Linked DNA regions of Daphnia pulex. The protein of the gene in region 4 purifies or fractionates together with the protein of the main gene of each other region. This does not show direct contact. Links are inferred from orthologs where the notes say so. Each region holds a gene or a part of one and is shown on either strand. Other genes may lie near its edges.

Region 1 (7,527 bases), on a different chromosome or scaffold from region 4:
GATAATTTACCTTGCTTGCCCTGATGTTTCTCTTCTGGACAAAGCTTCACACCCAATCGTGAGCAGCCATTGTTTATAATAAAAATGACATTAATGTTTGCCGCTAGATGGCATAGAGTCCAGTTAATAAATTTTACGCTATATTTTTTTTAAATTATATAAAATTAAACGATAGGATGGATATCAATCACCATATAAAAACAAATTACCGATAAGAGAATATAAAGGAGATATATTAGCTCAGTCCTGATTGACTTCTGCACTATTCCATATTGAGGAACTCTGTTTGAAAATGAATATGAAAATATCTCGGAAATTTGAATTTTGGTTTCTTTAGTAATTGACGAACAAATCTATACCTAATAACCTCAAAATCCCAGGATCAAAGTGACAAAAAAAAACAGTCCTCCAAACACAAACTGCAAAACAAACAAAAAACCAACTTTATATTGAGTAGGTCGTAAATACTTGTTGGACACTAATGTGTCTGCGCATGTCGACAAGTGTTCGATGCTAGTCTGGACATCCTCGTCGTTCTTTGTATATAATCTATGGGAACATGCGTCAATAGGAAGTTTGCTATTATTAATGTAATTTTTCACTGTTTAGGCTACGCATGTTCCCTTAATGATATTAAAATCGTGGGAGATGTCAGTATATGTTATTTTGCAATTGGAGACCGTCTTTTGTTCGCCGGGACTTGTGACTATTATAATAACTTTTTATAAATAAGAAGTTTCTCGCACCGGGGCGCACGTATTAACTAGCTGGCAAACGCTACCACTTTTTGACGAGGATGTTGTATTGATCTACCAATAGTTTTAGAATCGTTCAGCCGCCGATATCGGGATGAACGATTATTGTAGTTTATGTATAACATGACGTATCAGACGGAAACGGTTATAAGAAAAAATTATCACACATTTTTAACAATTTCAATCATTTATCGCAAGAAATTATCAATGATTTCGTTTTTAAACCATGCTTGGCTAAATTGAATATGGTCACCTTCCACTTGTAGGAAATGGAGTTTTCCTTCATCATCCATTGCACGTAAACCAAGGCGATCCTAAGAGATTTTTTTTTAAATGTAATTAATAGAAAATTGTAATGTAAGACACGATGTACTTCAAGGTAAAGTTGCGAATCTTGAAGAGTGTAAGTTGAGTTCAAATCATTCTCCTTATAAAAACCGAACCATTCTGCACGGATATATTAAAGGTGAAGAGTAACACACTGTTAAAAATGTCGCGATTCAATTGAGCTTTAAAGCGGCGCGTACCTGTTTCAATTGGTTGGACAACTGTATCTTTAGTAAACTTAACCATGACGAAGTTTTTCAGTTGCTTAAGGTTATTTTTGTATGTATCATTTACAGACTATTAAAAGAAATAGCAGATAGTTTCGATTTCAGTTAAAAATAGGACCAATGAAAAATTCTCATACCCTTTCGTTATTGATATCCGCAAGAAATACACTTGCTTTTTTGTATGCCTTTTCATCTAGTGGATCATGCCAATATTCAGCAGGAGTAACAAAATTTTGAATCCATCTTGATAAAATTAGTTCTGTTAAAATTATTTTTGTAAATGTATAGGTCTCAAGTAGACAAACTTTTTGTAAGCTCCATGATTAAGTAGCGAGCGAACATAGTCACAAAATTTGACATCATCTCCTAGACAACGGGGTAACCCATATACACCTTGGTGTTGAGAGCCTAAAGTGACTAGATTTACCATCGGAGGATCAGGGCAACGTTGAGCTACAGCTCTCCTATAATAAGCAGAAAATTAAAATGATTCAAAGATAATCTTAACTATTCAACAATAAAGATATAATTACAAGAACTGCCCCCCTTGAGATACCCCTAATCCATGATATCCTAATGCTAATTTAGGGTCATTTTTGATCAGATCACACACAAATTCAACTTGATCGTTTGCATTCTTGATGTATGCATTTTCAAAATCCTACATAATATTGGAATTGTTGGTGTAAATTTTTAATTGAGCTATACTGAATTAATACCTCACGAATGGTCTTGCCAATCTTCAGCGAAATTACATAGACCTCAGGAATTTGTTGTTGTATAAATTTTTGTAGGCCCCCAATACTCAATGGATTGCAGCAAACATCACCTACATACCCATTTCAAAATTTATCATGAAATTGTGAATGAAGTAGAAACCTTAAATGTGATTACCTAATCCGTGCCAGATCACAATTGGTAGTATTGATAAAACCATTTGACAATTTATTAATAAGAGGAAAACACACATTAAGGGAAGTGTGTACTTCATTCTTGATTCTTTACCCAAGGAGGACTACTCATACACTTACGGGGTCAAGCTAATAAGTTGGCTTGGAATTTAGACAAAGCAGTTACGTAATTGAATTACAACCATGCACGAGTTTCTCACGTTGACATTTGACATTGACATTTGTGTATTTGACATTTCTTGGTGCTGGGCTGGCTTCAAAATTTATTCTTTTTTCAAGGTTAGTGTTGACTATTTTCAACAGGTGGCCAGGTTGGTTCATAATCGATCTCAATAGAGGGCTATTCAAGCGATCTTAAAAAAAAAGAATGTTGCAGGAAAAACAACAAAATCGTAAAAAGGTTATTAAAATAATTTAAAGTCGCTTCAAAAAAACGTAGAACTGCGGGTCATCGAAAGGGTGACGGCAAAATAGTTCACGAGTCACCACCGTTTTGGAGTTTTCCCATTTTTCTACGACACAACTTCCGTGAAAACAAGAACCCATTTAGAACTTAGTAAAATCAGATTTCCATTTTACCTCAGATTACCTTTTACCAAAACAAACTGGTATATCTGAGCGCTTTTTTTCTTTATGAGCCGTATTTCGTCATTAGCCACATTTTAGTGGGGCTCGGATTGCTCCCATGTGCTTGCGATTATAATGGACTCAACGTTGAATATTTTCTTCCATAATAGACGGCGACGTCTTTTTTAGATTTTTTTCTTTGTCCAACTTCAACTTGACGCACCAATCGAGGAATTTACTTTTTTTTGTTAATTACCTATTTACCTACCGTCTACCCTACCGAAATAAAAGACCGTTTTTTTCTAGCCGGTAGATGGCGAGAAACGAAACAACTGACAGAAATTCAGCAAAATGTCAGATTTTAATCATAAACATGAAAAGGTTACTTTTTTGTTTTATATAGGCCTACTTAGTTCTTCTTTATATCATTTGATTTTATTTGTTTTAAATACTAATTTTAAAGGTTTGAATATTAAACTCAATTTCTTGTTACAAAATTCAAATTTCTTTGCTGTGACTGGATACTCACATATATGACTGGTTATATTGACATATTGTATCAAACAAATAATGGGTTTAATTAATGATTGGTAAAGGTGCTGACAGGACTAGTCTTTCTTCAAGATGCTGCTTCTAGAAGTTCTCAGCTTACTAATGGAATGGTCAATATTTTGACTTCATTTGATGAAAGGCTTGCGAGACTTGAAAAGACCATTTTACCAGTCTACAATGAGACAAAAAATTTGCAACAGAAACAAGAAAGTAAATTATTAATGAGATCTCATATAATATCAATATTTCTTGTATTTCTAAATTTACAAAATCTAAATTTCTTTTTAACTTTCTTCGTGTTTATAGACATTGATAAAACATTAGCCTCTTTGGATCATGTCATTAGCTATTACAGTGTCAGCAAGGAAGTTGAGCCTGTCATAAAAGAGAGCCCTTCAAGTCAGGGTCTAGAAATTTTTCTCCAATCCCTCGGTCGATTGCAAGAAGCTATGCATTTCTTTGAGAGAAATAATCCACAGAGTGTGGAGTTAGAAAATGTTGTAAGTTTCATTTTTATTTACAATCACCATACCTTACAAACTTAAAAAACAACTTTTGTATTAGATGAGCCTATTTGAAACTGGCAAAGATAATATTATCAGCGAATTTAAAGAACACCTAGCAAAACATAGTCAAACCATTCCTGCTACAGCACTTTTGGAAGCTCTAGCAAATGATGAAGGTGAACCCCATTTATCTATAACTACCTGAAAATTCAATGTAATGTTCCATTTTCATTCCAGAGGAGATAAGTATAAATCACTTCTCTGCAGATGTGAAAGACAATTTGATGCAAATAGCTGATTGGCTTGTAACTCACAATGAAGATGACTTCATGAATGTAACTTGTAATCATCAATCATTAATCCACGACATATTAAATAAACTTTGTCACTGATTTACTTTCCAGGTTTACGCTCGGTTTCGCGCAAATACTGTGCAGAAAACCCTTCTTGGCCTTCGTGATCATTTGAGAAGTTCATCTACTGGGGTATCGAGTCACCAAGGCGTGAGTCCCGTAGCTGCCATGTCGGGAACGGCTACATTGCTGGTAATCTAATATTTATTGTGACTACTATTAGGCAATATATAATGAACTTCTTTTATAATTTTCAGGCAAAATCAGGTGTCAAAGCCAGTTATGACACTCCAAGTAGAAAGACATCTAAGAAACTACAGCAAATGCTTGAGCGCAAGGCCAACCAAATGCTTTTGAAAGCTTCTCAAACGTTGGAAAGCTCTACAGGACTGGCTTTGGGCCCCAGGAGAAGCGCTGCGGGTGAGAAGACGAAATTAAATTTATTTTACTTTTTCCCAATTATCATTATTGTTTCTTCTTCAGACAGTATAAAAGAAGATGCTGTCGAAGAACACGAAATCGAATCGTTCTTAACCGAATTCACGGCACTTTTGCGACTACTGCAGAGTGAACTGAGACTTATGTTGGGTATTGTCCCTTTGCCGCATCAAAAAGCTGTTCTGTCTATCATTCTCAGAGACGCATTGGAAATGATCTGTCACGATGCCGAGGTTGGAAATATTCTTGATTCAATTTCATCGGTTAGTCATTCTTGTACTTTACTAATTTTTAGAGCTTAAGCGGCCGAGCGCGCCGAAGTGTTTCTCGTCAAGAGTTCGGTCCCGTTTTGCTTCTTTTTCCTGCCTTACGCCATTTAGTGTGTTTTAAAGGCGACTGTGATAAATTGCTGGAAGGATGCGATTCTTCTGTTCGCACACGATTTTACGCAATGGTTAATAATCTCCATACAACCGTAAGCTAATAACTCACCATAATTTAGATTCGTTTTTATCACTGTGTTATTTTGTGATTGATTAGTGCGGCAAGGCCCTTGAAGACTTTGCAGAATCTGTGCGTTCTGAATCTGCAGCTCCATTGCCTAGAGATGGCACGGTCTATGAAATGACGAGCAATGTCGTTCTTTTTCTCGGCCAGTTGACTGATTTGTCTGACACAGTCGGTCCGCTTCTCGCCCAAGATCAAAGTTATTCCAACGCATTGGTACACACTCAACCCTGGCCGAAACCTCAGAGAAACAAAGCTTTACTAGGACTTTATATCAGTAATTCATTTTTCTTGTTCAGGTTTAACTTAAAATCTGGTTTGATTAACAAATTACCCTTTTTTTTTTAGAAAAAGTGTTGGTTCAACTAAATTTAACTTTAGTTACTAAAAGCGATGCGTACAGCGATTCTTCTTTGCGCTATATTTTTCGATTAAATAACAGCCACTATTTGTTAAGCGCACTACAGCGTAGTGGCCTACTAGACCTGTTGAAGGTAAAGCACAAAATTGTAGTCAAAGTAAATGTAATCACATATTTTGGTGTTTTTAGGTTGTGGAACCAGAATGCGAGCCGATTTACCGAGAAATGATCAACGAACAGAAGAGGCTTTATTCTCAAAGGTATTGATACTTTGTTCCTTTCCTTTGAATTTTTTGTTGAACTCACCGTTACTATTCAATTAATTAAATAACCTACAGTTGGAACAAGGTCTTAGCCCCAATATGGAATTCGGAAGATGTTCCAGCATCTGTACTTCTTTCCGGCAGGTTACGGGAAAAGGATAAAGCTTTAATTAAAGAAAAGTTCTCGGTAGGTCTTCAAAAGTTAAAATATAAGCTTTACATGTGTTAAAATGTTGTTTTTTGATCCGATAAATCTTTTAGACCCTTAACAAGGAGTTTGAAGAATTGTCCAGAGAGCAACGAGGTTATTCAGTGCCAGACGTTGAGCTTCGCGAGAGTCTGAAGCGTGATAACAAAGAGTACATCCTGCCGAAGTATCAGGCTTTCTATGACAAGTACAGCAACGCGCAGTTCAGCAAACACAGTGAAAAATACATCAAGTACTCACCGGCCCAAATTTCATCGGTAATCGATACATTTTTCGACGTTGCTGCATGATGATCAAAACGATCAAGGTTAACAAAAAATCATCCTGATTGTATTTTCAACACCAAATTTAAATTTATTAAAAAATGAAATTACAATAGCGACAAGTCTGAATTCTATTAAAACAAAGAGGAAATTATATCCTTCAGCGATGACTAAACAGCATGTACACACTTGTACAGGCACATTCCATTCCATTTCACAAATAAACAAAACCTGCTAAACGTTCAACTTTGACGTGTAGAACAGGAGACACATGAGAAAAATAAAACGGCTCTACCTTGTTTTGTGCATAATACTGATGACAGCTGTTGTCTTAGAAACGTAGCACCGCTAGATTAAACTGAGCCACTCGAAGGACGTTTAAACGCATCAAACAAATTCTAGAAAACAGATAGGACGCAACACTTGTCATCAGAAAATTCAATTTTGTCACTCCTTCACACCCGAGGACTAGGATACTATTTAGGGTCTTGGTTGGTAAGCCTTCGCGTTCTCGTCAAGCCTGTTTTGAGCACGTTTTACCATGTTCATCCCAATGCGCAACCTACAATCGTTATTTAAAAAAACAAAACGTTACAAAACAAGTATACAATAACTGAATTGCGATATTACCTGACAGTCACGGGAACAGTAGAATGTGGTTTGACACCCGCTGCACTTTTGCTGAGCTTCTTGTCCACACTTCAGGCAAGTGTAAAGCGGGTGTTGCTGTGGCTGCGGAACATCTCGTGAGAGTCGACGAATGGCAGGCTGTCTAGCAATGTCCGACTGCTGGCCAGGAAAATGTCTTTGCGCTTGAGCATTAATTGGCGGCGAAGACATGGGCATATGGCGTTGCTGCTGCATGATTTGGTGTTGTGCGTTTTGCAAGGAATGGGCTTGTGAATGTGGAACTTGCTGTTGTTGCATTCCGCTCAAGTGATGTGATACTGTCGGCTGATTTGTCAGCTGTTGCGAGGAAGATTGTTGTCTTATTCGCTGCTGCTGAACGGGTGCTTGTGCTTGTTGTAGGTGCGATCCAAGAATGGACATATTTTGCTGGCGCGAGGGACTGTCTCCTGCAATAGGACCAGCCAAACGATTGTGAAGTTGCTGAGATGAGCCCAATGACTGTTGCGAACCATTAGGGTGCATGTACTGGTGTTGTAGTGTCGCCTGTTGCTGCTGTCGATAAGGCCCAGCTTGGTAATTGACGGGTGCTTGCATCCGATTAGACTGCAGGTTTTGAACGTATGCTTGGTGTGCAGTTTGCTGTGCAGTTTGTTGTGGCC
Region 2 (7,592 bases), on a different chromosome or scaffold from region 4:
CCTGGATGATTATCTTACAGTCAAGCGTAACGAAGAGATTTTCGGTGTTTTTGGAATGAAGCCGAATGCGAAGAATAATCGTGATCTGGACTTTAACATTGAGTTGAATTTCACGGGTGAACTGTGCACACTTCAAGAGAACAACGTCTATCGCATGCGCTAAATGATTTGTCGGAGAAAGGGTTTTTAAGCCCAGGTGCGTGATTTTGGAAACACATTCAGTCAATAACATGAATTGTTAATTTTTGGTTGGGTGGCTAATTTTTTATTTGTATGGAAAGTTTTCAACTTCCGTCACCTAATTTATTAGTATCCTATCTTGCCCAATAGTTTTCCACTTATTCTAATCTCCTAGAAACTTTTTTAATTTCGTTCGCTAATCCCAACCAGTGGAAAACTACTTGTGTTGAAAACTTAACATGATTTCATTCGCGCGGCAAACTCATGAAAAAAAAAATAAAAGCCACCATTTCTTTTTAATAAACATTTTTTTTTCTTCAATTTGGGTATTTTAATTAAATATGAAAAATTCGTTGGTAACAGAATATTTTATTACGTACACATTTACTTATCTTCAGACAAGGTTTTAATATAATTTCCTAGCCGAGCAGTCTTAAAATCGGCTCGTAGTTGGATGAAGTTTGATAAGATTGAACGATCAAGTGCGGCCTAAACCCCGATAAAAAAAGTTATATATCAATCATATTTCTCAACCTTAATAGTTAGTCTCACCAATTGATCTCCAGTGCAAACCTGTTTAAGGTTTTCCGGTAAAACCAACAATAAGTTGCACAATGCGTGTAGGGTGTCGAATAACGTTGTTACCATTGGAACTTTAAACTCTTGCACACACTTTTTATACTCGTTAACATCGCAAATGGCACAAAGTGCACCTTAATAGAAGAAAAAAAATCGTTCAATCCTGATTAAAAATCTACCATTTGGAATTGTAAAGAAATTACCCATCGAATTATACTGGAACTGATGAAAGTGTTCGTAGATGACGCGATGAAAACGTGTTCCGAGTTCATTTAACACAGCTTCTTGATTTTTACCGTCAAGAGAATTTCTGATCCTCTCAGTTTGGACCGAGACGAAGCGACACACTTTAATACAGGCCTAGATTGGGTTCAAATTATTTTAGCCGAATGTCATATGAAATGTTAGAAGCACAATTACGGGAGATGCAATGACAGCTTCATCTCCTTCTGGTTTGAAGTCTCCTTTCTTTTGTTCTGATTGTAGGGTCACTTTAACGTAACCCACGATGGCAGATAGAGACCGATCGACTCCAATTTCTAGTTTGTTTTCTAGCTGCTCTGAGATAGTTTTCTTTCGTTGTAAACATTCACCATGCTTAGGAGTAGATCTGTACAAACAGCAAATTATGAAATAGGACTCAAACATAAATATTTGAATTAACTTACACCACCAAAGGGATAATGCTATCGTGAAAAAGTTTATCCATTAGATGAACAATGGCGTTGACTTCACGAACTACACCAAAAAAATATAACTCTGGTTGCACTTTGCTTTCTCCTGGCGGTATAGCCTATTTATCAATTAAGGAAGTTAAATATTTTATTCGCCAACAACTATCGATGTAATACAAAACCTGTAGACCGATTTCGAGGGCATAATCAAGAAATTCGTCGATAAGGAACTGGAACAAGACATCCAAAATTTGAACAGCGTTGGCGGCACATTCTGACGACCGTGATAACTAATTTAACGAGGAAATAAAGGTCAATAGTGGGATCGAAGCAGTTAAATAAAGAATGAGCTTACGGAATGGCATCGGATGAGGGCCTGCTTGGTTTCATCCAATAAACTGACGGCGATTTGTTCTGAAAGAAACGTTTCCCCACCATGCGTTTCCCAGACAGCACCGGTTTTTGCTACGATGACTGCCTGCAAATCCCGCCTTAGTTCCTGAATCCTGCAACGTTGAAATTTTTTTTCAAAATGGTGCACGATTAGGAGTTGTTACACAATTCTTTTACCCTCCAGTGTTGATAGGTTTCTTTTGGTGATTTTTGTATTCGTAGAACTTCTTTAAAACGGTAGCACTTCTCTCCTTCAAGTTTCGAATTTCCAAGCTAAATCAATGACGCAAATTATATAAGTCATTTATTGTGTTAGTCGTTCAAAAGGTCTCACCTGATGTATGATTCCAAATAACGCTGAAAGATGTTCTTCACCAGTTTTGATAGAAACGCGTGATCGTTGCCAGTGTCGTAGCGTGCCAAATCAATCGATAACTTTGTTGTCCTATTTTTAAAGAAATTTTTGGGTCAAAATAGGAGAAATGTATGATTTTAAGTAATGGACAATTACCTGGAGTACAATTCATGCAGACGCTTTAAATAAATATCGGGTCTGGATCGATCTGCTAAATTAGTACTTATGGTTCCCTAATAGCATGAGCAAATTTATCGTGTGATTCACTTCTTAAATCAAGTAATTAGCAAAACCTGAAGTTTCCCATAAAAAATGTTGAGGATAAATTTTCCCATAACTTGTTCAGGGTTATGGAAGACTTCTTTCATTTCTCTTGCATTTCGTTCACACAATGGGACAACATCTAAAAATACGTCGCCACTAGAAAATGCACCCTGATCGCAAAAATAAAAACTTTTAATATTCATTCTAAGAAAATACTAAATACTATCGTGTATACCGCTTGGCTTTGCTCAATGAAAGCGTCGATACACTGGGAATATCCCTTGAAGTGGCTTAAAATAGAGGCGATATGTTTCATTTGAGCGCGATCTCCCTTGACCTATAAGGATTTAAATTCAATTAACTGTGTCAACAAATATAGTCGTTATTAAATTTAATAGAGCGAGCGATTGCTTGTGGTTACATAAGAATTCTCATCGGTAAAGCTTAGACGAGTGAGTATGGATTTACATTAAATTCTTAATTACCTGGGCTTTCGCGAACTCCTCAATTAACGAACGCTCAATTTCGTCGTACTTTTGCGCAATTTGTTTCTGCGCACCACTGTATTTGCTAGAAGGCAATTCTTGGGCAACTAACTGTAATTTTTGGATTATGTCTGCTGCTTCAAATAACTGAAAGAACATTGGACATAATGAATACGTGTCGTCATTCAAATATTAAACAAACACACCTGTTCCTTATCGCTAAAAACAGGCGAGAAAGGCCCTCCAGGCTTAATAAATCCATTGAAATGGGTCAGGAGTTTCTGAGCTTCAACTGCACGAGATCTAGGAGTGTTGACATTCTCCAATTGATCTCCTAAGTAAACAACTTTTGTTGCAACATTATTTATCCTAGAGTCCAACTCATGAAATGCTTCCACAGCAGCCTGAATAAGACATGCATTAAAAAACATACTTTACAACAAGTAGATTTAATATTACCTTATTTTTCTCTTCAAGTTTTGCCATTTTTTGCCAATGTTTATTTTCCTCTTCTCTACAAGCAGTTTCAAGTTTATCACATTTTCCCTGTACACGAACCTGAAGAACTTGGAGATGCCTAGAATTTATGTTCAACAATGAGGTGTTTACCAAACGCAGGCCTTGTAAAGTGTCTTACTTTATGGTTTCCTCAAAATTATTCAAGAGACCAGTCGCGGAAAAAGAATCGTCGCTGCCGGAAGAAGAATGTGATACGCCCATAGTCATCCAAGCAAGACGTTCAACGAATTCATTTGGATTAAACGGCTCCTTAACGGTGGTACGGTTTTAGAAATGTTACAAACATTTTTAACACGCAACAAACCTGCTCCATTTCGGCAAGGAAGTCCATGATGGAATTTCAACAAATCACTTTTTTACTTCAAAATATTGTGGTGAATTCCGAGACTGGGGTCATAATCGCTGTCATGTATTTGTATTACTGCAACTTGCATATACTGCGCCATCTATGGATGAATACCAAAACAGAAAATATTTATTTTTTATAAGATTAATAAACAAATATACACAAGATACAGTTATAAATTATTAAACATAAATTCATTTAGGAAACTTCAATTAATAAATACTTTTCTGTTTTAGAAATTAGAAATGTCAAAAGTTAATCTATCGATCTTTTAAAAAATCGATGTTTACAAAAATTGTATGTTTACAGCTGCGCTAAGAGTCTAGTAGCCACTGGCATTCTGTCATTTCCCATTTGGATCACAGTCCTTGGCTGTTGAGTGGACTGGCTGGACTTACAAGTTTCGATGCTCCCTGACATACATTCTAGTTATACAGTGAACACTTCTGCTACTTGAATCAAACATTCATCATACCCATAAGTGCACACAGGAAAATCGCCGAAAACTCTTGTTTAGTGAACGACGGTCGTTGATTTTTGAAAAATTGCAATGGATTCACCTACGGCCAGCGTGTTTAGTCTACCTGAGCTGAAAGATGTTTTTCCTGGCTGTTCCAGTTACGAGGAACTTTACAACTTCAGCATCAATGAGGTTTGTTGGCTTTATTTGTCAACCGTATGCTGCGCCCACGTAGAGCCGTAGACGCTATAGACAACCTTGTGTTACCTTGTTGATTTTGTGTTTGAAGGTTAAAAATAAGGTTGTAGCTAGAGGGACAGATCAAATATTTGACGATGTGGCTAGTACGTGTGTATGCGTGTAAAACAATCGATTATTGTTGAATACGGAAGAAGTTTTGCGCTGCTTTCGAAAATCTTGTTTTCGTGGCGTTTTGCCTACAGCATCCACTAGTTTTCTAATACAGCCAAATGTGGATGAATTGAATATAACTTTGATTTATGAAATCCAGTTATTTCGAGCGCTATGACTTGTTTGAAACGTACTAATGAAAATTTTGTAGCCCTCAGCATAATTTTAGCATTTAATTTTCAATTGGCGTTTTGACAGACGGACCTGTTCTGGGGTACGCTAGCTTTGGAGCGCCTGCGCTGGAGTCGCAATTTTGAAAAAGTCTCGGATTGCGATATGGAGACGGGCTTATTCCGTTGGTTCGTTGGCGGCCAATTAAATGTCTCAGGTACAAATTACTGATAGTGCGTCTATCAGACTGGCTTATCTCCCATAAGAACTAAAACCACTTGTTATTACGAAATAATGACGGGAATTGAGTAGTTTTATCTCGGTTTTTGATGTGATGTCATTTTACAGCCTACATTAAAAAAAAAAAAAAAAACGCTAGTCACGTATACCGGATGAATTAGTTATCTTGAATTTTCTGAATTAAAGTACAACAAATTGGTTTGAATATTTTATCGACAGTCAATTGTGTCGACCGACACAAGGAAAAGGATGCCAGCAGAGTAGCGCTTATTTGGGAAAAGGACGAACCCGGTCAAGAGGAGCGGGTCACCTACGGGTTAGACTTTTAATGAACCTGTCTTGTTACATGTTTTCTAAAATTGTTTTTCTTTTTTCTAAATGACGTGGCACAGTGAGCTGTACACGATGATGAATCAGATTGCCAATGTCCTCAAATCCCATGGAGTGGAAAAAGGAGATCGAGTAGCAATTTACATGCCAGCCTGTCCACTCGCCGTCGCCTCTATGCTGGCCTGTGCCCGAATTGGAGCCGTCCACTCTGTCGTTTTCGCTGGATTCAGTGCGGAAGCGTTGGCGAGTCGCATCGTTGATGGTATTGATTCTCGTTTTTTTTTTTTCTTCAAAAGGCTTTTATTCTTTCAAGTTTAAAACAAATCTGTTTTTTCTAAATCTCTGTTATTAGCGGAAGCCAAAGTAGTTATTACTGCTGACCAAGGAGTACGAGGAGGCAAACTGATTGAGTTGAAAAAGACCGTTGTGGCGGCGGTCGCTAATTGTCCGAGCGTCACAGCAGTCCTCGTAGCCAAGAGGACGGGAAATCCTGTAGTTTCATCTTCTCTTGATGTCGATCTCGACGAGGTTGGTTGTCGCTAGTCAAAATTATAATCAAGGCAACGAATTAATCAAACGATATGTCCTCTTTCCCATCAGGCGATGATTAAAGAGAGTGGCGAGTGTGAACCTGCCGTCCTGGACAGTGAAGATTTACTTTTCATGCTCTACACGTCTGGCAGCACAGGAAATCCTAAAGGGGTGGCCCATTCTCAAGCCGGTTACCTCCTTTATGCCTCTTTGACACATAAGCTAGTATTTGATTGCAACGAAGGCGACATCTTTGGTTGCGTGGCTGACATTGGGTGGATCACGGGCCATTCTTACGTTGTGTACGGACCTTTGGCAAACGGAGTAACCACTCTTCTGTTTGAAAGCACACCGACGTATCCCGATCCAGGTCGATCGATTTTTTCCATTGATTTTTTTTTTTGTGTCTACGTTGATGTTAAGACGCGTGTGATCCCCTGCAGGTCGATACTGGGAAACAGTTCAGCGGCTCAAAGTCAACCAACTTTATACCGCGCCGACGGCCATTCGTTTGCTTCTTAAACATGGAAATGAACACGTTGAAAAGTATGACCTTACCTCTCTTCGAACTCTCGGTTCTGTGGTAGGATTGTCATAACCTTTCGTTAATGCCAACGTACTACGTTGCGTGCGTGTAATTAACTGCTCAATTTCATTTCAAGGGTGAACCCATCAACGTAGAGGCTTGGCATTGGTACAACAAGGTCGTTGGCAAGGAGAAGTGTGTCGTCGTGGACACGTGGTGGCAAACGGAAACGGGCGGAATTTGCATCAGCCCCAGACCATCGGCACCTGGTTCTGAAATTCGTCCCGGTATGCCCATGCGACCAATGTACGGAATCTGGCCTACTATTCTCGGAGAAAAAGTACGATGTCTTGCTCATGAATTTGATTTGAATTTCCTTTTTATAATTATGCAAATATTTTTCAGGGCGAAGAATTAGAAGGCAATAATGTTACGGGTGCCTTGTGCTTGAAAAAGCCGTGGCCTGGAATGGCGCGTACCATTTACGGAGCCCACGGCCGCTTCCTGGACACATACTATCGACCGTTCCGTGGTTTATATTTCACCGGTGATGGAGCCATACGGCATAGTGATGGCTACTATCAAATTACTGGACGGATGGATGACGTGATTAACGTTAGTGGACATCGTCTTGGTACAGCTGAAGTGGAAAACGCTCTAGTAATTTAATTCATAAACAACAGCTTTATCATTTAGTAATTTGATGTACGTATTTTTTTTTTCCTCACAGGGTCAGCATCCGTCTGTAGCAGAGTCAGCTGTTGTCGGCTATCCCCACGATATCAAGGGTGAAGGTATATACGCCTACGTTATACTTAAGGACGGCTACTCGGCGGATGCCAAAACGGAATCTGAACTCAGGGCGACTGTCAGGCAGAAAATTGCTGGTTACGCTCTACCGGACGTAATACAGGTAAACCGGATAAAAACGGAAATGGTTTTGTGAGCGAATAATAATATAAAAGTAAATGTGGACTAAATCAATAGATCTGCACTGGCTTGCCCAAAACACGTTCGGGTAAGATTATGCGACGCATTTTACGAAAAGTGGCAGCGGATCAGACGGAAGATCTGGGCGACATTTCAACGTTAGCCGACCCTTCGGTCGTCGAAGACCTTATCGTTCACCATCGAATCCTGGTTAAGCAAGGGAAATAAGCTTAACTAGTCTCGATTTTTGACCTGTCC
Region 3 (7,755 bases), on a different chromosome or scaffold from region 4:
CTCGATCCGCTCTATCAGTATCGGTACCTCGCCAGATCGGGCCGTAAGTCTTATATCATGTCTTTCGTAATTTCTTTTGTAATGTCGACCGAACCGAGTTGATGGTATATGCACAGATTATCTGGTATCTACTCAGACAGTTTTAAGTTTTATGAATGATCTGTCGTTGATTTATTATCCGCATTGTTTGTATAGAATGCCCAACGGCGAAGGACGGCCAACCCGAATTTTATTGTCCCACGCCAGACCGAAATGGCAATTGGCGTTGCATCGACGACTTCCAACTAGTAGGACGCTTTGATTCATTATAGTTTTCTTCGAATGAATAATACTCATGTGCACTTTCGCGATTGTAGTGTGACGGTGTGCGTCACTGCCCGAATGGCGAGGACGAACTTCCGGTCTCCTGCCTCTTTTATCGTGTGGTAAGTTACTTGGATTGATCGCTTTGCACAGATAATTAAATTTGTCTTTTCGTTTTTTAAAAGGTTGAAACTCATCTTTTGAGCGTAAGCCAACGGCTTAACAGCGACGAAAACCGACAGCGAGGTGTCCCTCGCTAAAGTGTCCATCCTATAGCCGAATTCTTATATGGTCTCATTATAACAAGCCGCTGCCATTCGTTGTTCTGATTAGTTCCACGTTTCTATGGTAATTCCCGACCATACGTCTATAAGAATTACAGTGCTAGTGTGAAGGCGCCTTATAAGACGCTGGAAATTCCACGAAACGGGACTGGATATGGACACCATTGTGTTATAATTCAGAAAGTTCTGTGCGCAGAGAAATCATCAAATTATTTCATATCATCCTTTCTTGAAAAGAGAATGAATAAATGTCAAATAGAATTCTCAAATTAAACCTCGCGTCGCATTTTTTATTGACACTCCAAATTACGCAACGCTTAGTAAATAAAAACTGAGTTAAAATTCCAAGGGTGATGAACAAATATATAGGTCACACCTCGAAGAAGATTATTCATTTATTATTCCGTGATGTAAAGTTAATTGATTTCTGTGAATTGTTAATAAGCCAGATAGATATCTAAAATATTCATCCATGCAACGAGAAGTTGCGGTCCCAGGAATCCGCAGGAATCGCACGTAAAGACCTTGAAGGATCTGGGGAATTTATAATTCATTCCTAGCCCGGGCAACGTCGTTTGTGAAGACGAAACATTCGAGTTCTAAGTAAGGAAACTCATCCCCAAAACAAATGAAATGGCTGCTCCGAGTATAAAACATGAATAAAAACAACCCTTGGTAGTTGATGGACCTTCATTTCAGCGCTCTATATCGAAATACAATGGATGTAGAATCCCCATCTGGATATGATATTTTGCATAATGGTTATAGAGTGGGATTACAACCGATGCTTCGTTGCGGTCTCATCTCACGGTCGGATCTCCTCTCCCGGAGAGCGGCATTGGTCAGATCGACATGTTATTGCTACGGCAACTCTTAAGCGACTACGCATAGACGACAACTATGTTGTATTATACGGTAGATTTCGAAGGCAGATGGCAGAATGGATTCAGCAGATGAGAGGTATATATATAAGTATAGATGCACGAGCTGCGCGGTCATCGTGTAATGTATGCTGAACCGGGGGTATGTATGTACGGGGGCCGAGCATCAAAGCTGTTCTCTTTCAGTTTGGCTGGCTGTCTCTTCAAATCGTGTGTCAATCTGTTTGGATCGGACGCAATCTGTCAGTCCAGACAAATTTGACCTTTTCACTATTGCCATTAAACATGACCATCGATTACTGCTTTTTGCCATATTATCCTTTCTAGCGCAAGTAGAATGCTACAATGAATCATTTGCCATCAATTTAAAAGTATAACAAATAAATAAAGACTCCAGTTTGGGTTTATCGTAGTAGGTTATACATGGCGGTTGAACATCCGATGCAATGCTGAACGAATGAATTTACGAGCAGTGAAAAGAACAATACCGCTATTATGCCATAATAACGCCTACGGACAATATGCTAATTAACATTTGATGGAAAGAACAAAGTTTCGTCCTAATTTGCGTAAGATACTCGACGAATTAATGCAGCGCCTACGATCCTACGTGAAACAACAACAGTTTTTGTTCAAGAAATCGAGCATCAGATGTTTCTACAACGAAACAATCGCCTAAAAGTCCCGTGGGTTGCCATCTTTATAAACGATGCGTTAGTTTACATAATCCCGTTTTGTTTTCGCTCTGTTTTTCAGATAATGAGACGATCCCTTTTTTTTAGCAAGTATCTCCTATGTATTTTTATTTACTCGATGTATTATTAATGAACATCTTTGACGAAACAATCAACTTACCACTCTACATTTTAACAGGCGTGCTGTGTTGCATTATCATTTCCGCAAAACTAATTGGTAATTGGCTCAATGCTATTATCCCTTTATATTAAGGCAATTTGTTAGGCTCACTTGTTGTTTTACGCACAAACTATAGGATAAAACATAGTTGGACAACGTGCTGTGTTATAATAAGATAAATATTTGAAATTGGGCATTATCAAAAATCGTGAGCATAACGGGATGACTACCGGATGTGTAATTAACGTATAAAATCGATTTTCGAAAAAAACAAAGAAAAATAAAATGACAAAATGTAGAGTAGGCTACCTACCTTCCCAATCGATCCTTTCGCGTTTCCCCCTTACTAATACGGCGCTACGCCAGCCGTTTTTTTTTTTTTTTTAACTTTTAAAATTTTAATTAATAGATTAACCTTTAGTTACTTAAGAAAACAGTCAGCCTACTCGTTGTTATCAAGTGTCACACCCTACACACAAAAAACAAAAAACACCGTGGCTTTTCCCATACTAAGAAAAACTAATCTATAAGATATAGGTCATAGGGGGAGAAACCGAAAAACGCGAAAGAGATTAATTCATATTTAGGTGGGTGCTGTATTTTGTTAAGATGATTTCAAAGATATTGCGTAATAAATAGGAGAAAAATTAATTAAAATAAACCGGCAAAGGCGAGAAGAAATATTGGAAAATCGATTGTAAGCCCCAAAATCGATCTCTAATGAACGCCCAGTCGGCCCAGTGACGAAAAACTGCCAGAGTGACAAATCATGGAATAACAAATAATAATAAAATATTTATCTTAAATATACGAAGGTGATAATTCTAGCAACCACAAGGAGCGGAGAATCAGGTAATAATTGAGGAATCACTAAAATAACCCAAAACTGAATAACAATTGTGACAATTGAATGTTAAACTAGGTTGTCAACAAAACACAAGTTGTTTGTTGTTTTCTTGGTAGTTGTAGGTTTGTGATAATAGAGAAATGAATATTGAAGTTCTTCAAGAAGAGGCAATGCTCTCTGCTTCTGTTTCATTGTCATCAATGTTGCAGCGCCCTGATCAGCTTGAAAAGGTAAAAGCTCATTTTTTGGATTGTTTCCGTAAAAAAACCTTAAAATGTAAACAACATAATTATATGTTATAACCTGATGTTATGTTTATTTGTTTTGTTTTTGTTTTATTAAATTTAGGTGGAGCAGTACAAACAACGAGTAACTAGGAAAAAAACTTCAGTTGAAGCAATGCTGAAAACAGCTGTGCAAAGTCAACTTGATGGTGTGATAAGTGGGCTGCAACAATTGCAATCAGCATTGGTTGATATTAATGACATTCGTCATAGGTATCAAAGCACATTTAAAAATGTTCACAGATGACTTCTAGACTACTACAATTATTATATTGTGTTATGTTGGCATTTAAAGGTTACATGAAATTGAAGAGTGTGTCACAACAATTCCCACACTATGTGAAAGTGTTAAAAATGTAAGGCAAGAACATGTTGTTTATTCACAATATGCTGTTGCCATGGAAAATTTGAAACATATTTTCACTGTTCCAGAAAGGTAACTTTTACATAGTTTTTTAAATTTTAAATTACTGTTTTTCTTTCAATTGAACTACTCTAACTAATTTTCAATGGCAAAATTAAAAGACATAGTTTATAATCTGGGATACATTTTAGACTTTAGTCACTAGCTGCAAGTTATTGGCCAACTAAACATGAAAATATGATGCTAAATTAACTTAGAATTACCAGCTTAAATATAAGAAACTTAGAAATGTTATTATTTCATTATCAATATAGAATATAACCATTAAAAATCCGACTTTTGTTCTAGTGTCGATAAAACTCGCCAGTGGATATCCGAAGGAAAACTTCTTCATGCGCATCAAAGTCTTACGGATCTAGAGAACTCACGTGATGACTTGCTCTACGAACTCCACAGGTTACCTAATCATTCTTTGCAAGATAAGCAAATGCTTAAGGTCTGAACATATTTTCTATTTTTATTCGCACGATGTAAATATGTAATACTCATTTAAGGAATTGTCTCAATCCGACAGGCGTATTTTTCTGGAGTGCAACAGTTGTCAGAACAATTGGGAAAGCAGCTGTGGTTACTTTTGGGTAGATCTTTGAACACAGTTCGGAAGGAACCGCAAGTGATTGTTACAGCAGTTCGAATTATTGAGCGGGAAGAACGTGCGGATGCTTATGCGGTGCAGCGTCAAAAGCAAAGTGGATTCTTGCCACCGGATAGACCAAAAAGATGGAAAGGTGATTTTCAAAATGTTAGTGCACATTTAACACATTTAATCTGTCTTATTATATCAACTTTTAGCAAGAGCACTGGAAGTTCTATACGATGCGGTCGTTGAAAGAATAGAGGGCAATCAATTCGAAGAGAGAGCTGACAATAAAATGTGGCTAGTGCGTCACCTTGAGGTGACTCGTTTGCTGATTATCGAAGATCTTCGTGTGGTGAAAACTCTGTGCGCCCCTTGCTTTCCTCCTCATTGGGATATCGTCAATCAGTTTTACCAGAAATATCACACGAGCATCAGTAAACACCTCGAAGAAGTGATTACAGCTGGCCTGGTTGGCAATGAATTTGTTACACTGTTGTCATGGGTGCTACAGACATATCCAGGTCCAGAGCTTCTCCGACACCAGGATGTCAACATCGACCCTACTTCCTTAGGGCCAATTTTGAGCGATTCTACCATAGAAAAGCTTTTCCAGGTAGCTCCAGAAATTTGTCATAATCTGCTCCTTTATACGTAACTTATGACATTTGTACATTTATTTAGGAATATATAAGTAATATGGCCTCAAACTACAACGACTGGATGCAAAAGACTGTTGATGCAGAGGCCAGGGATTGGAGACGACCCATCGTTCCGGAATCGGACGGCGATGGTCATTATCACACCGAGTCGATCGTTATCATTTTTCAAGTAATTATTCTTAGTTTCTTTTGGCAAATCGTGATGTAAAACGATTATTCACTTTTCGTTTTAACTCATTGTTTAGATGGTGGAGCAAAATCTAAGTGTGTCGCGTACAATAAGCAACGAATTGATGATGCGGGCATTGATTTTGGGACTGGAACAAATCACGCAGTATGGAGAGATGTACCGAGAAGCGATAAATCTTTTCAAAAACAAACACTTTGAAGATAGAAGCCAAGTATTTGCGTCGCAATACAGTTACATTTAGTGAATTACTAATTGGTTCTCTCTCTTTCAAGGTGCCTTATTTTACACACTACATGATCGCAATTATCAACAACTGCCTGCACGCGATGGAACTTTCTCAGCAAATGAGATCTCGGAATGGGAATAAGGGTGATCAAAGTGGCACTTCATCATTTTTCAACAAATTCGAAATTCTTAGCCAAACTTACGATGTAAGGCCTATAACCTATTACTAGTTTAAAGAGGACCCAAACTAATAGTGATTTGAAAATCAGAGCCTTAGGAATGAGGCAGCTGGATTTTTGCTAGATGAGGCTTTCCTGGATCTTGAACCACACTTTCAGGATCTGTTGACTCGCAAATGGGTCCTGTCGACCGTTCCCGTGGATACCATTTGCGCAACTTTGGAGGACTATTTTCAGGTGAGAGTTATTTCCCCGTGCCATTTGAAACACCACCGAGCTAATGTATTATGTATTTCAGGATTACATGCACTTGAGGCCACGCAATTTTGAATACGTCATCCGGCAAGCTGAAATATGCATCACTCGAAAATACATAACGTCCATTTTCCAGAAGAAGCTGTCGTTGAAAGACGAACGAAGAGAAGTAGCGGACAAAATCATCCAGGAAGCTGGGCAAATCGAAGCTCTTTTAGCTCCTGCATCTCTCAGTCGTGCTTTTTCGGCGGATGCTCCTAAGGTCACCGAAGATGCGGCAAAGGCGATATCTGCTTTGGCCGAAGTCATCAAATGTGATTCAGAAATTATAACCCTGGAGCTCATAAACTTCATCAAAAAATACCCCGATGTCAGTCAAGATCAGCTCACGTGTCTACTGAGTCTTAGAGGAGATTTTGGAAGAATTGAAGCCCGCCAAAGAGTGGCCGACTTGTTGTCCAGCGGCTCCAAAGACGAGAGTGCTAGATCGACGATTTTTTCTTTGATTACTGTTCCAAGTTCCATTTTCTCGTAAACACTCTTTCTTTATCTACGCATGTTATCCGATTTAATAAAAATGCTACAGCATTCAATAATGTTTGTAACACCAACGACGATATTGCATTTTCAACGTGTCACAGTTGAATGCGCGTATTTTCCGGGGGTTTCCAACTTCAATTACGGTTCCTTAAGTATCATAACGGCAAGTAACTATGTGTGCGTCACCGAAATAACGTTAAATTTAGTTTTGGCTTTTGGTTTATAGTAAAAAATCGATATGCGTTCTTCCTTACCAAAAGGGAAGCCTAGTAATTTCTCAAAGTATAGCCGTGTTGGGATTACATTTCAAGTAATCTAAACCGATTTTTATACCGTTCATCTCTTGTACTGTTTCACATCTTCACGAGTTATTGTATGTGGCCTAGGTGGCTTATTGGCTTCATTGCTACACAAGGATTGTAAAATTTCCGTTATCCGAAAGTGGATGAATCGAATAGTAGATAAAAATGAACGGTGGTTGGTGGTTTTTTAGTCAAATGTGTGTACGTGTATAGAAATAGGGCAACTTCTCGACATTTTCATAATATTTAGACCGCATTGAATTTCAATTTTAAGCTATTTTCTCCCCCAACAGTGAAAAGGAAACTCAACTTTACTTTTATGCTGCCTTTTAGTCTTTTACTTCGCTTGGAGCTGGTTTGCTTGTGTGCTGAGTTTGAATTGAAGTTAAATGTATCACCAGTAGATGGCCTAGAAGCCCGCTAGGCAAAAAAAAATGAAAAATAAACAGCTGTTTGCACTAGTAGCTGACTAGCTGTTAGTCTGTTACCTTTTTCCTTACGAAAAACCTATGCCGAAACATTACATTTTGACGTTAAGGTGAACAGCGTTTGCAACATGGCTTCAGTTTGAATACTTGGTAGTAACTAGTGCACGGAAGGTGAGTAATAATATTTTCTCGTGGTTTCTATTGCCTTGCCAAAACCGTTTGTCTATTTAGAGTTTTGTGCATCATAGACCCGTTACTCAAGTCCTTTCAAATTAATGGTTCGGTGTTTAGTTTAAAGTTACTTATAGTGTGAGGTGTACTGACACGTCATTTGAAAATTGAAATACTAATCTACCTACATGTGTCACCACTCATCAGAAGCAAAAGTGACATGTTTATCTTGGGCGTCGTTGGGACCGTTTTTTTGTAGATTACGACTACTAGCAATTAAATTGAGTCGGTTACTAGAGATAAGTTCTTTTAGGTGTTTATCGTTAGTGTATAAATATCGGGGATTTT
Region 4 (7,769 bases):
CACGGGTCTATTGAAGACGGCCGAAGTGAAAGAGCGGCCCGGTTACGAAGTCCGCAACGAATTCAAATACCACGGCGGTCTGGTCAAGGAAGAGCGGACGAAATTCGGCAGTAAAACGGGACTGGACAACGCCCGGACTCGATGCAAGTACGACGGTAACGGGCGTCTGGCTTTGATCGAAACGGAACTCAACGGCCGCGAACTCCCGCCGCACGCCTTCTCCTACAACCAGAATCTGGGCTTGCTGGAGGGCGTCAACGACCTGCGCGTCTACCGCAACGCCTTCAACCGCACCGTCATCCAGGACTCGACCAAGCACTACTTCCGCATTTCCGACCGCGATCAACACGGACGCACCGCCATGGCCCTCATCAACATCAAGGGCTACGACGCATTCAAATTCGAGCTGGACTTTGACGTCAGAGGACGAGTGCACCACCGCCGGATCACCATCGGTCAAAAGCTCATGAGCTACAACGTGACGTACAACGCCGAGGGTGGATTGCTCCAAGTCCAGCATCAATCGCAAGGATTTTCTTCCGCCGGATCCCTGGCCGGAGTCGGAGGAAGGAGCTACGCCTACACTTACGACGACAACGGCAACATTTTGACAATGTCCAACGGAGAACAAGCGAAAATCAGTTTGGTCTACGACGCTGGCGATCGTGTCAGTTCCTTCGGCGAAGGGCAAACGGTCGCCTACGATTCCCGTGGCTTTGTCGTCCGTCGCGGCGCTCTGAAATTGGCTTACAACGACCGCGGGCAATTGTCGTACGCCAGCAGCGAGACCGGCAGCTCCAAGTTCCGCGTCTGGTACAATTACGACTACCGCGGTCGTCTGTCGGTTTGGCGCGACGACAAAGGCAACGTGACCCAGTTCTTCTACACCAATCCGCTCAAGCCCCAGCTGTTGACGCTCTTGCACTGGCCCAAGGAGAGCCGGACATTGAGAATGTACTACGACGTCAACGATCATTTGATTGCCGTCGAATCACCGGAGCAGCGCTGGTACGTTGCCAGCGATGAAACGGGCACGCCTTTGGTCGTGTTCAACGTTCACGGCTCCGTGATCAAGTTGACGGAGCGGACGCCGTTCGGATCGACTGTCCTCGACACGGAATCCACCGTCTACATCGGCGTGGATTTCCGAGGCGGAATCCTCAGCCCGCACACCGGAATGATTCATTTTGGCGGCCGAGTTTACGATCCTTCCATCGCTCAGTGGCTCACGCCCGAGTGGGAGCATCTCGTTTCGCGGTTGAAGAATCCCCAGGACATTTTCGTCTACCGATTCCGTGGCAACGATCCAATCAGCATCGACACAGAGCCCCGCTACATGACAAGTAATATTCAAATCTCTTTTTATTTTAAATCAAAGTTTCGTTGGAAATTTATTCTAACCAATCGACTTGATTGATCACTTTCAGGTCTGGATGACTGGCTGCAACTATTTGGCTATTCGTGGAACAACATTGTCGGTGCGGAATACAGTTCGGCGGCCGTGTTCAGTCAAGTATCTGAAACGGACACGAAGAATGCCGTTGGACACTTTGGAGTCATTTCCGGCTTACGCTGTCTGACTGAAAACGTGCAAAAAGGATTTTCCGTTCTCAGTTTTGTGCCGCCTCCCAAGCTGCGGTCAGGAGGCGAGCTTAGACGGAACCCCCTGCCCAGTATCGCTTACCGGAAGCCGGCCTTGGGTGAAGGTATCCTCCTCTCGCGGGTGGGTGGTCGCGTGTCTGTCACTTTGTTGCCCGACTCGCAGGGCAGCAGCGGTGGCATATTGCAAGACGTGTTGGGTTCGGTCCTGGGCGACAGTTCCACCACCCACTGGTTAGACATCCGCACGGGAATGGGCCAACAGGAAATCTTCTACTTTGTCAAGGAAAGTCTGGCGAAATTGCGCGACGACCAGGAAGATTTGAAGCGTTTGAGTGGCCAGTTCAACATCACGCTCGTTGAAAACCCGACGGAACAAGGAGGCGGGTCTGAATTGCGATTGGCCAATGCGGATCTATCCGTCAGCATCAGCTACGGTGTCGAAGTGGAAGCGGCTAGACAGCGAATACTCCGGTCGTCTCATCGGCGAGCGGTTGAAGTCGCTTGGCTGCGCGAGAAACAGTTGGTGGAAAGCGGATTGCCCGGCCAGCAGGTGGACTGGAGCGTTGAAGAAAGGGTGGAGCTGATGACCAACGGAAGAGTCGACGGCTTTGTCGGCTCGGATTTGCACAGCATCTACGACTACCCGCAATTGGCCGATGATGCCAGCAACATTATTTTCCGGAGAGACGACACCAAGCGAAAACGGCGCAAGAGCCATCGCTTGTCGTCACGCCAACAAAGACGGGGGCAACACTGAAAAAAAAACAGGGTTTTATAATTAATCCACCAAACCCATGATCGTACTTCGAAACTAAAAAATATTGTGCTTTGTAAAAAAAAAAAAATAACAAAAATAACAAAAAAATCTGATTATGATTACGGTGCTCTGTCATTCTAATTTGTAATCTTTGACGGAATCATTTGCGCTGTATTTTTACGTCACCAGGAAAAGAAAAACAAAAAACTGCTCGAGCCGAAAAATGAAGCGTAGTCATCACCGTCTCATGTGATAATCAAATATCGAGATGGAATCCGAGTAGAAACATTCTTCGACATATTTGATGGTTTATTCATCTTTTTTTTTACTTTCCTTCCCTGTCCATTTCTATATATTACAAACACACCCACCAGTAAAAGAGATATATTGAAATCACTACTGACATTGGATCCTGTTTTCTTTTGTACTTTAAGAATTGTGTTTAGAGTTGTAACGTTTTTTTTCTGTTATTCCTTCGTGTACATATATTATTCTGATATTTCTTGACCGAAGCGATGCGTCGACATCACACCGCCAGATTTATTTGGGACTCTTCTCTATTGGCATCATTTGTTGCAATATGTTATTTCTGAAGAGTGTGCGATTTGATGACTCTACATGCCAAAATTCTCCTTTTTCAAATGTGCGTGTGTTATTTGAACATGGCGGGCCTAACTTTTGTGTGCGTCAAGTGTCATAATATTCACATCTTTATCGTATATAATAATCTCGGTATGCAAAACAAAAAATTCATGAATCTGAATGATTATGTGCATCTGATATAAATACATATTGTTGTACTGTAACACTTTTGTGAATTTTTTAAGAAATACGGTTGAGCTAAAATATCCAAAATGAAATTTTCGACACGTTGAGCGTTAAGGAAAACAAATGAACAAATGAGACAAATGAAAATCTAGAAAATCAAGTTTAAGATAAATGTTATAATGTTATATTTCAAGAGTAGTTCTCAGTGAAAATTCGAGATTAATAATTATGGTCACCAGATCTGCTGTACACGCCCCTCGGTCTGATAGTCCACCCCTTCCTCCCATTAAAATTATGAATAAATAATCCGATCGTTTGCTGCACGCGCGAGTTTCCGCGTTTTTTAAAAAATAACCCTTTGACTTCATAAGTTCTCCGTATCACTGTTAGAGGACAGCACCATCAGATGGTGGGTGGGACAGCTTCGTCTGCAATATTGTCAGTTGTCACGAAACACAGCAGACATAATATAGTGTATGCAACCTGCTGGCGATTCAACGTTATTGTTATTGAATCTAATTGTTAGCCGATTGATTGACGATTGATTGACATTTTCTCGTTACTTCTTCGTTTAATAAAATGGCTGCGCTAAGGCACAGTTTGCAGCGAGAATTATTTTCGCCTGCTGAAGAAAGATTAGTTGGATTGGCTCATGTGACTAGTGTTGGCAAGAAAAAGAAGGCACTTCCTTGTTTTTTGTGCGTTGCAGTTACTGCAGATCAAGGCATCGGTGCCGTAATATACAAGGTATACTTACTTCAATTTTCCCATGCACCAAATTATGTTCTTTATTCTGTCATTATTTTCAATAAACAGGTAAAGAAAACTGAGAAAAACAATGTTTACAAGAAGAAGAGTAGCTGGCCATTGAAAGAGCTCAAAACTGTGGATGGTATTGATGGCAACAAGGTATAAAGAAATTGTTTTCATATTTGTCTGGTTTGCCCATGCAGACCCTCAAAGAGTTGTGTCATCTTCTTAAAACAATTGTAATTTTTTATTTTGTAGGAAACAGCTGAATTCAGCATTCATTTTGACAAAGTATACCTTTGGTCTGCATCTAATGTTCAAGAAAGGCTTCTTTTGTTTTCCATTTTATGGAAACTTTGTTCAAAGTATTTGCCGAAACAAAGTCCAATGTTTGTTAATATCCCTCCAGGCATCATAGAAGATTCAGTGATACCAGAAACATCCGTAGCATTAGATCATGAAGGTATCAAATTGAAACTTGTGAAGCATTTTATAAGTTGTTCACCTGTTTGATTCAAACTAGTCAGTGGTCCAATGGATGGAGGCATTGGTGAGGAGGATTATCAAGCCCTTACAGACAGAGAAGAGAAAGACCTGGAACGATTATTATCTCAGTCCAATAATGCCTTGAGTAATGCAGAAAAGTTTATGGAGCAACTGGCTAAGGACTTGTCTTTACTTGATGGAGTATTTTATGCAATAAAAATCTATCATTTGAAATATCATAACTGAACTGATTTCTACTATAGGCAAATATTCAAAGCTTGATGGGCTCTGAAGCTCAAGTCATACAATTGTTGAACCTTCTCGAAGCAGCCGAAAATGAAGCTGCATCCATTGAAACCGAGTTAGACAAGTATGAAAACATTCTACTCCAAGCCCGGGTTGCAATGGCAACAGTAGGTGAAAAGAATGTGTCCCTGGAAACTGCCAACCGTAACAATCGTCTTCTACTTATGGAACTCAATAATTTAGTCGTAAGGCTGCCGTTTTCAATCCTCGTTTATCCGCATCTACAATCAATGTGTTTGTGGTACAGGCACATTTAGATATTCCACATTCCCAGCAAGTAACTTTGAACAATCCAGACTTAAATAGTCCTACAGGCCTTCAAAACGCTATAATAGCTGCTAAATCTCTTCAACGTGCTATGAATGCTGAACTAAAACCAGGTACTTGCATTTTTCGAAACCAAAATAAAATAATTCTATTCTCATTTCTCTAATCGTCACTCTTAAGGACTTGAGAAAATGGTTGCGGTTCAAGATCAGCGACGGCAGTTGGAGAAATGGCGAGCAAAATTTACACCCACAGTTACTCGCCAACTCAACAACCTCTTCATTCACTTAGTAATAAAATCAGTTTATACTTACGCTTTTTTTTCCCTTCAATAATATTTTTTGGTTTTCTTTTTAGAGCAATGATTCTGGAGAAACCAGTAGTCAAAGCTCTAGAAGTTCAAACTCTTCGCAAACAACAGTGTCACTGGCTAAACACGGGAAACTGCATTCTCAACTACAAATGTATGCTCCCTTAATGCATTGGCTAAAAGCAACAGACCATGCCTGCTATGAGAAACTACTCGAAGTATACACTACATCAATATGTAAATTGTATGAAAGAGATCTACGGCAGTTCTTTGATGAAGCGCGTTCGAAAGTGATAGGATTGCGAGAGAAAAAACGTAAGGAGAAGCAATTTTTTATTTGAATCCACCTTTAGTGATTTCTGGTTATAACATGTTTACCGCAGTTCGTGGAAGTGATTCGGGTTCAGACATGGGCACCAGGCATTCCTTGTCTATTAAAAATCCTTCAGGAACAAATGTCGCCGCGGCAAGCCCTAGTGGAACAATACAAATGCCGAGTCAAAATTTGTTAGGGAATGAAAGAGAGCTTTGGACGGTACAATATACTATACGAAATTTTAAATGTGTAAAATGTATTGATAAATATGTTTATTACAGGTTGAAGTTGATATTCATGAAAGAAAACGCCTAGAAGACTTGCTTGAATGCGCACTAGCCGAACTTGAACCAGTATGTCTAGTGGAACAAGAATTTTGTGTCGCATTTTTTGCACTGGATCAAGGAGGCCATGAAGCGGATGAATCATCAACAAGTAACAAAACCCCAGAACGAGCCATTAACGAAGAAGTGCGCAAAATGATGAGCGTTTTGTTTACTGTTCTTGAACCGGAGCTTGTGAGCTTTCTTGCTACTTATGAGAAAGTAGATAGCTTGTAAGTGATTTAGAATACTGTACTTTTTAAATTGGAATGCTTTTTTTTTAATCGCTATTATTATTTCTAGCTCACCTTTGTACGTCCTCGTGAGACTTAGTCAGCATGTCTTGTCTGCAACCGATACCGGTTCCTTCCTCAGTGTTACATTTGGTTCATCTTTGGTGCACGTGAAGCGAGCATTCGATCGGTTTTTTATGACTCAGCTTCGCTCGATTGAAGATTCAAAACAGCCTAGGAAATCCAAATGTGGGATTCTTCCTTTCATTTCTAATTTCGAGGTAAAGTAACAAAATTAAAAATTTGTAAGTTAGTTGTATTTTGAATTTATTTTGAATTCCCCACGGCATCCTTTTATTTCATTTCTAGGAATTTTCTGTGATAATTGAAAATATTTTCAAGAATTCAGAACGGCGGGTTGATGTTGACAAATGGTACACACGTTTAGTCCGAGCCATGTTTGAAGTAATGCCAAGGATTTCTATAGAGAACTCTAGGACTCCAGCTGACATGATCAAAATGGGTATTTGAACGATTATTATATCATTTTTCTTTTAATTCAGAGTTTAATTCTAAGAAACAAAGAAATTCATTGCTATTTGTATTTTGTATTGTTTTTTTAATAGAAAATTTTCATCGATTACACGCTTTGTTGTCACAGCTAAAAATCGCAGTCCTGGAAGCCGAGAAGAAAGAAGCAAAGCAAAAATATCAGGAAGCACTTCAATCATACGTTATACAATATTTTGGAAGGCCTTTAGAGAAACTCAATGTAGGTTACCTAATTAATGTGCTAAAAATGTGAAGTAATTTTGTTTTTTGTTTTTCTAGTTATTTTTTGATGGTGTTCAAGCTAAAGTTTCGCAAGGAGTTAAAGAGTCGGAAATTGGCTACCAAATGGCGTTTAGTAAACAAGAACTACGAAAAGTGATTTCCATTTATCCTGGAAGAGAAGTTAAAAAAGGTCTCGAATCTCTGTACAAAAAAGTGGAAAAACATCTATCTGATGAAGAAAATCTGTTACAGGTTATTTGATTTTTTTAATGTATAAAGCATTATTTAATGTAATGCTGTTTAATAGGTTGTGTGGCGGGCCATGCAAGAAGAATTTATCCGTCAATACAAATCCCTCGAAGACATGATTCAGCGTTGCTACCCTGGTGCGCTCATCACGTTGGACTTCTCCATGAGTGATATTCTTGAATATTTTTCAGACATAGCACGCTCTCACTAATGCTTGATTTTCAGAAACATAATTAAATTACATGTTCAAAAAATTTTCCTAAACAGCGATACATATTGAATGAACAAAAGCAGTATAAAAAATACGTTCATCCCGTATCCCTTTAAGAATAAAGTACCACCTACCAGGTTATCGCATCTATATATAACATATACGTGGACTTGGAGAAGAAAGTAGAATACTGGAACGAATATATGAGAAGGCATTGAATGCTCGATCAGTGAATCGATGAAGGATGAAGGCAAAGTTTTTTAAATTTAAATTTCATTCAACCAGGTGGCAGGGGCTGCATTAGACAAGTCTCTACATTCTGCCCATTCGAAGTGAAAGAAGTAAAGCCAATGCTTTTACTGGGGAGCAGACCTATTTATTCATATGTTCATTGATTGAAAATAGTTTTCAGTGTAT

The links.
Region 1: the proteins of exocyst complex component 1-like (region 4) and exocyst complex component 7-like purify together in Homo sapiens (affinity purification with mass spectrometry; 4 studies listed by BioGRID and IntAct, counting the BioPlex papers as one, with this or other methods). This does not show direct contact. The link is inferred for Daphnia pulex from reciprocal best matches to the Homo sapiens genes EXOC1 and EXOC7.
Region 2: the proteins of exocyst complex component 1-like (region 4) and exocyst complex component 5-like purify together in Homo sapiens (affinity purification with mass spectrometry; 4 studies listed by BioGRID and IntAct, counting the BioPlex papers as one, with this or other methods). This does not show direct contact. The link is inferred for Daphnia pulex from reciprocal best matches to the Homo sapiens genes EXOC1 and EXOC5.
Region 3: the proteins of exocyst complex component 1-like (region 4) and exocyst complex component 3-like purify together in Homo sapiens (affinity purification with mass spectrometry; 5 studies listed by BioGRID and IntAct, counting the BioPlex papers as one, with this or other methods). This does not show direct contact. The link is inferred for Daphnia pulex from reciprocal best matches to the Homo sapiens genes EXOC1 and EXOC3.

Annotation. Positions count from the first base shown.
Region 1 is NC_060020.1:3,978,535-3,986,061, reverse strand, and holds exocyst complex component 7-like, read left to right. Parts: upstream 1-3,036; 5' UTR 3,037-3,138; coding exon 3,139-3,168; intron 3,169-3,304; exon of another isoform or gene 3,305-3,327; intron 3,328-3,383; coding exon 3,384-3,549; intron 3,550-3,645; coding exon 3,646-3,839; intron 3,840-3,903; coding exon 3,904-4,021; intron 4,022-4,082; coding exon 4,083-4,180; intron 4,181-4,249; coding exon 4,250-4,390; intron 4,391-4,455; coding exon 4,456-4,618; intron 4,619-4,681; coding exon 4,682-4,869; intron 4,870-4,931; coding exon 4,932-5,111; intron 5,112-5,176; coding exon 5,177-5,420; intron 5,421-5,491; coding exon 5,492-5,637; intron 5,638-5,693; coding exon 5,694-5,764; intron 5,765-5,842; coding exon 5,843-5,954; intron 5,955-6,028; coding exon 6,029-6,265; 3' UTR 6,266-6,351; downstream 6,352-7,527. Other genes in the region: palmitoyl-protein thioesterase 1-like, read right to left, coding at 944-1,069, 1,129-1,202, 1,283-1,379, 1,447-1,552, 1,615-1,773, 1,843-1,970, 2,029-2,138, 2,204-2,300; uncharacterized protein LOC124192964, read right to left, coding at 6,753-6,800, 6,869-7,527. UniProt on the Homo sapiens protein: Component of the exocyst complex involved in the docking of exocytic vesicles with fusion sites on the plasma membrane.
Region 2 is NC_060021.1:6,827,456-6,835,047, reverse strand, and holds exocyst complex component 5-like, read right to left. Parts: upstream 3,892-7,592; 5' UTR 3,781-3,891; coding exon 3,754-3,780; intron 3,699-3,753; coding exon 3,568-3,698; intron 3,508-3,567; coding exon 3,390-3,507; intron 3,335-3,389; coding exon 3,137-3,334; intron 3,078-3,136; coding exon 2,931-3,077; intron 2,783-2,930; coding exon 2,681-2,782; intron 2,616-2,680; coding exon 2,475-2,615; intron 2,415-2,474; coding exon 2,338-2,414; intron 2,272-2,337; coding exon 2,161-2,271; intron 2,100-2,160; coding exon 2,004-2,099; intron 1,940-2,003; coding exon 1,789-1,939; intron 1,724-1,788; coding exon 1,616-1,723; intron 1,553-1,615; coding exon 1,428-1,552; intron 1,370-1,427; coding exon 1,180-1,369; intron 1,120-1,179; coding exon 963-1,119; intron 894-962; coding exon 733-893; intron 670-732; coding exon 565-669; 3' UTR 534-564; downstream 1-533. Other genes in the region: protein arginine N-methyltransferase 1-like, read left to right, coding at 1-163; acetyl-coenzyme A synthetase 2-like, mitochondrial, read left to right, coding at 4,346-4,447, 4,865-4,994, 5,237-5,333, 5,410-5,609, 5,700-5,875, 5,948-6,248, 6,322-6,461, 6,541-6,744 and 3 more. UniProt on the Homo sapiens protein: Component of the exocyst complex involved in the docking of exocytic vesicles with fusion sites on the plasma membrane.
Region 3 is NC_060017.1:4,103,335-4,111,089, reverse strand, and holds exocyst complex component 3-like, read left to right. Parts: upstream 1-3,023; 5' UTR 3,024-3,175; intron 3,176-3,245; 5' UTR 3,246-3,310; coding exon 3,311-3,400; intron 3,401-3,518; coding exon 3,519-3,667; intron 3,668-3,749; coding exon 3,750-3,890; intron 3,891-4,166; coding exon 4,167-4,314; intron 4,315-4,392; coding exon 4,393-4,606; intron 4,607-4,670; coding exon 4,671-5,071; intron 5,072-5,139; coding exon 5,140-5,286; intron 5,287-5,362; coding exon 5,363-5,518; intron 5,519-5,579; coding exon 5,580-5,738; intron 5,739-5,801; coding exon 5,802-5,948; intron 5,949-6,009; coding exon 6,010-6,501; 3' UTR 6,502-6,559; downstream 6,560-7,755. Other genes in the region: uncharacterized protein LOC124194259, read left to right, coding at 1-43, 196-287, 357-425, 489-563. UniProt on the Homo sapiens protein: Component of the exocyst complex involved in the docking of exocytic vesicles with fusion sites on the plasma membrane.
Region 4 is NC_060019.1:8,325,432-8,333,200, reverse strand, and holds exocyst complex component 1-like, read left to right. Parts: upstream 1-3,520; 5' UTR 3,521-3,706; coding exon 3,707-3,874; intron 3,875-3,943; coding exon 3,944-4,036; intron 4,037-4,135; coding exon 4,136-4,340; intron 4,341-4,400; coding exon 4,401-4,564; intron 4,565-4,626; coding exon 4,627-4,854; intron 4,855-4,916; coding exon 4,917-5,049; intron 5,050-5,116; coding exon 5,117-5,226; intron 5,227-5,293; coding exon 5,294-5,561; intron 5,562-5,629; coding exon 5,630-5,781; intron 5,782-5,843; coding exon 5,844-6,118; intron 6,119-6,188; coding exon 6,189-6,399; intron 6,400-6,487; coding exon 6,488-6,641; intron 6,642-6,744; coding exon 6,745-6,890; intron 6,891-6,949; coding exon 6,950-7,144; intron 7,145-7,199; coding exon 7,200-7,352; 3' UTR 7,353-7,504; downstream 7,505-7,769. Other genes in the region: teneurin-m-like, read left to right, coding at 1-1,343, 1,428-2,359.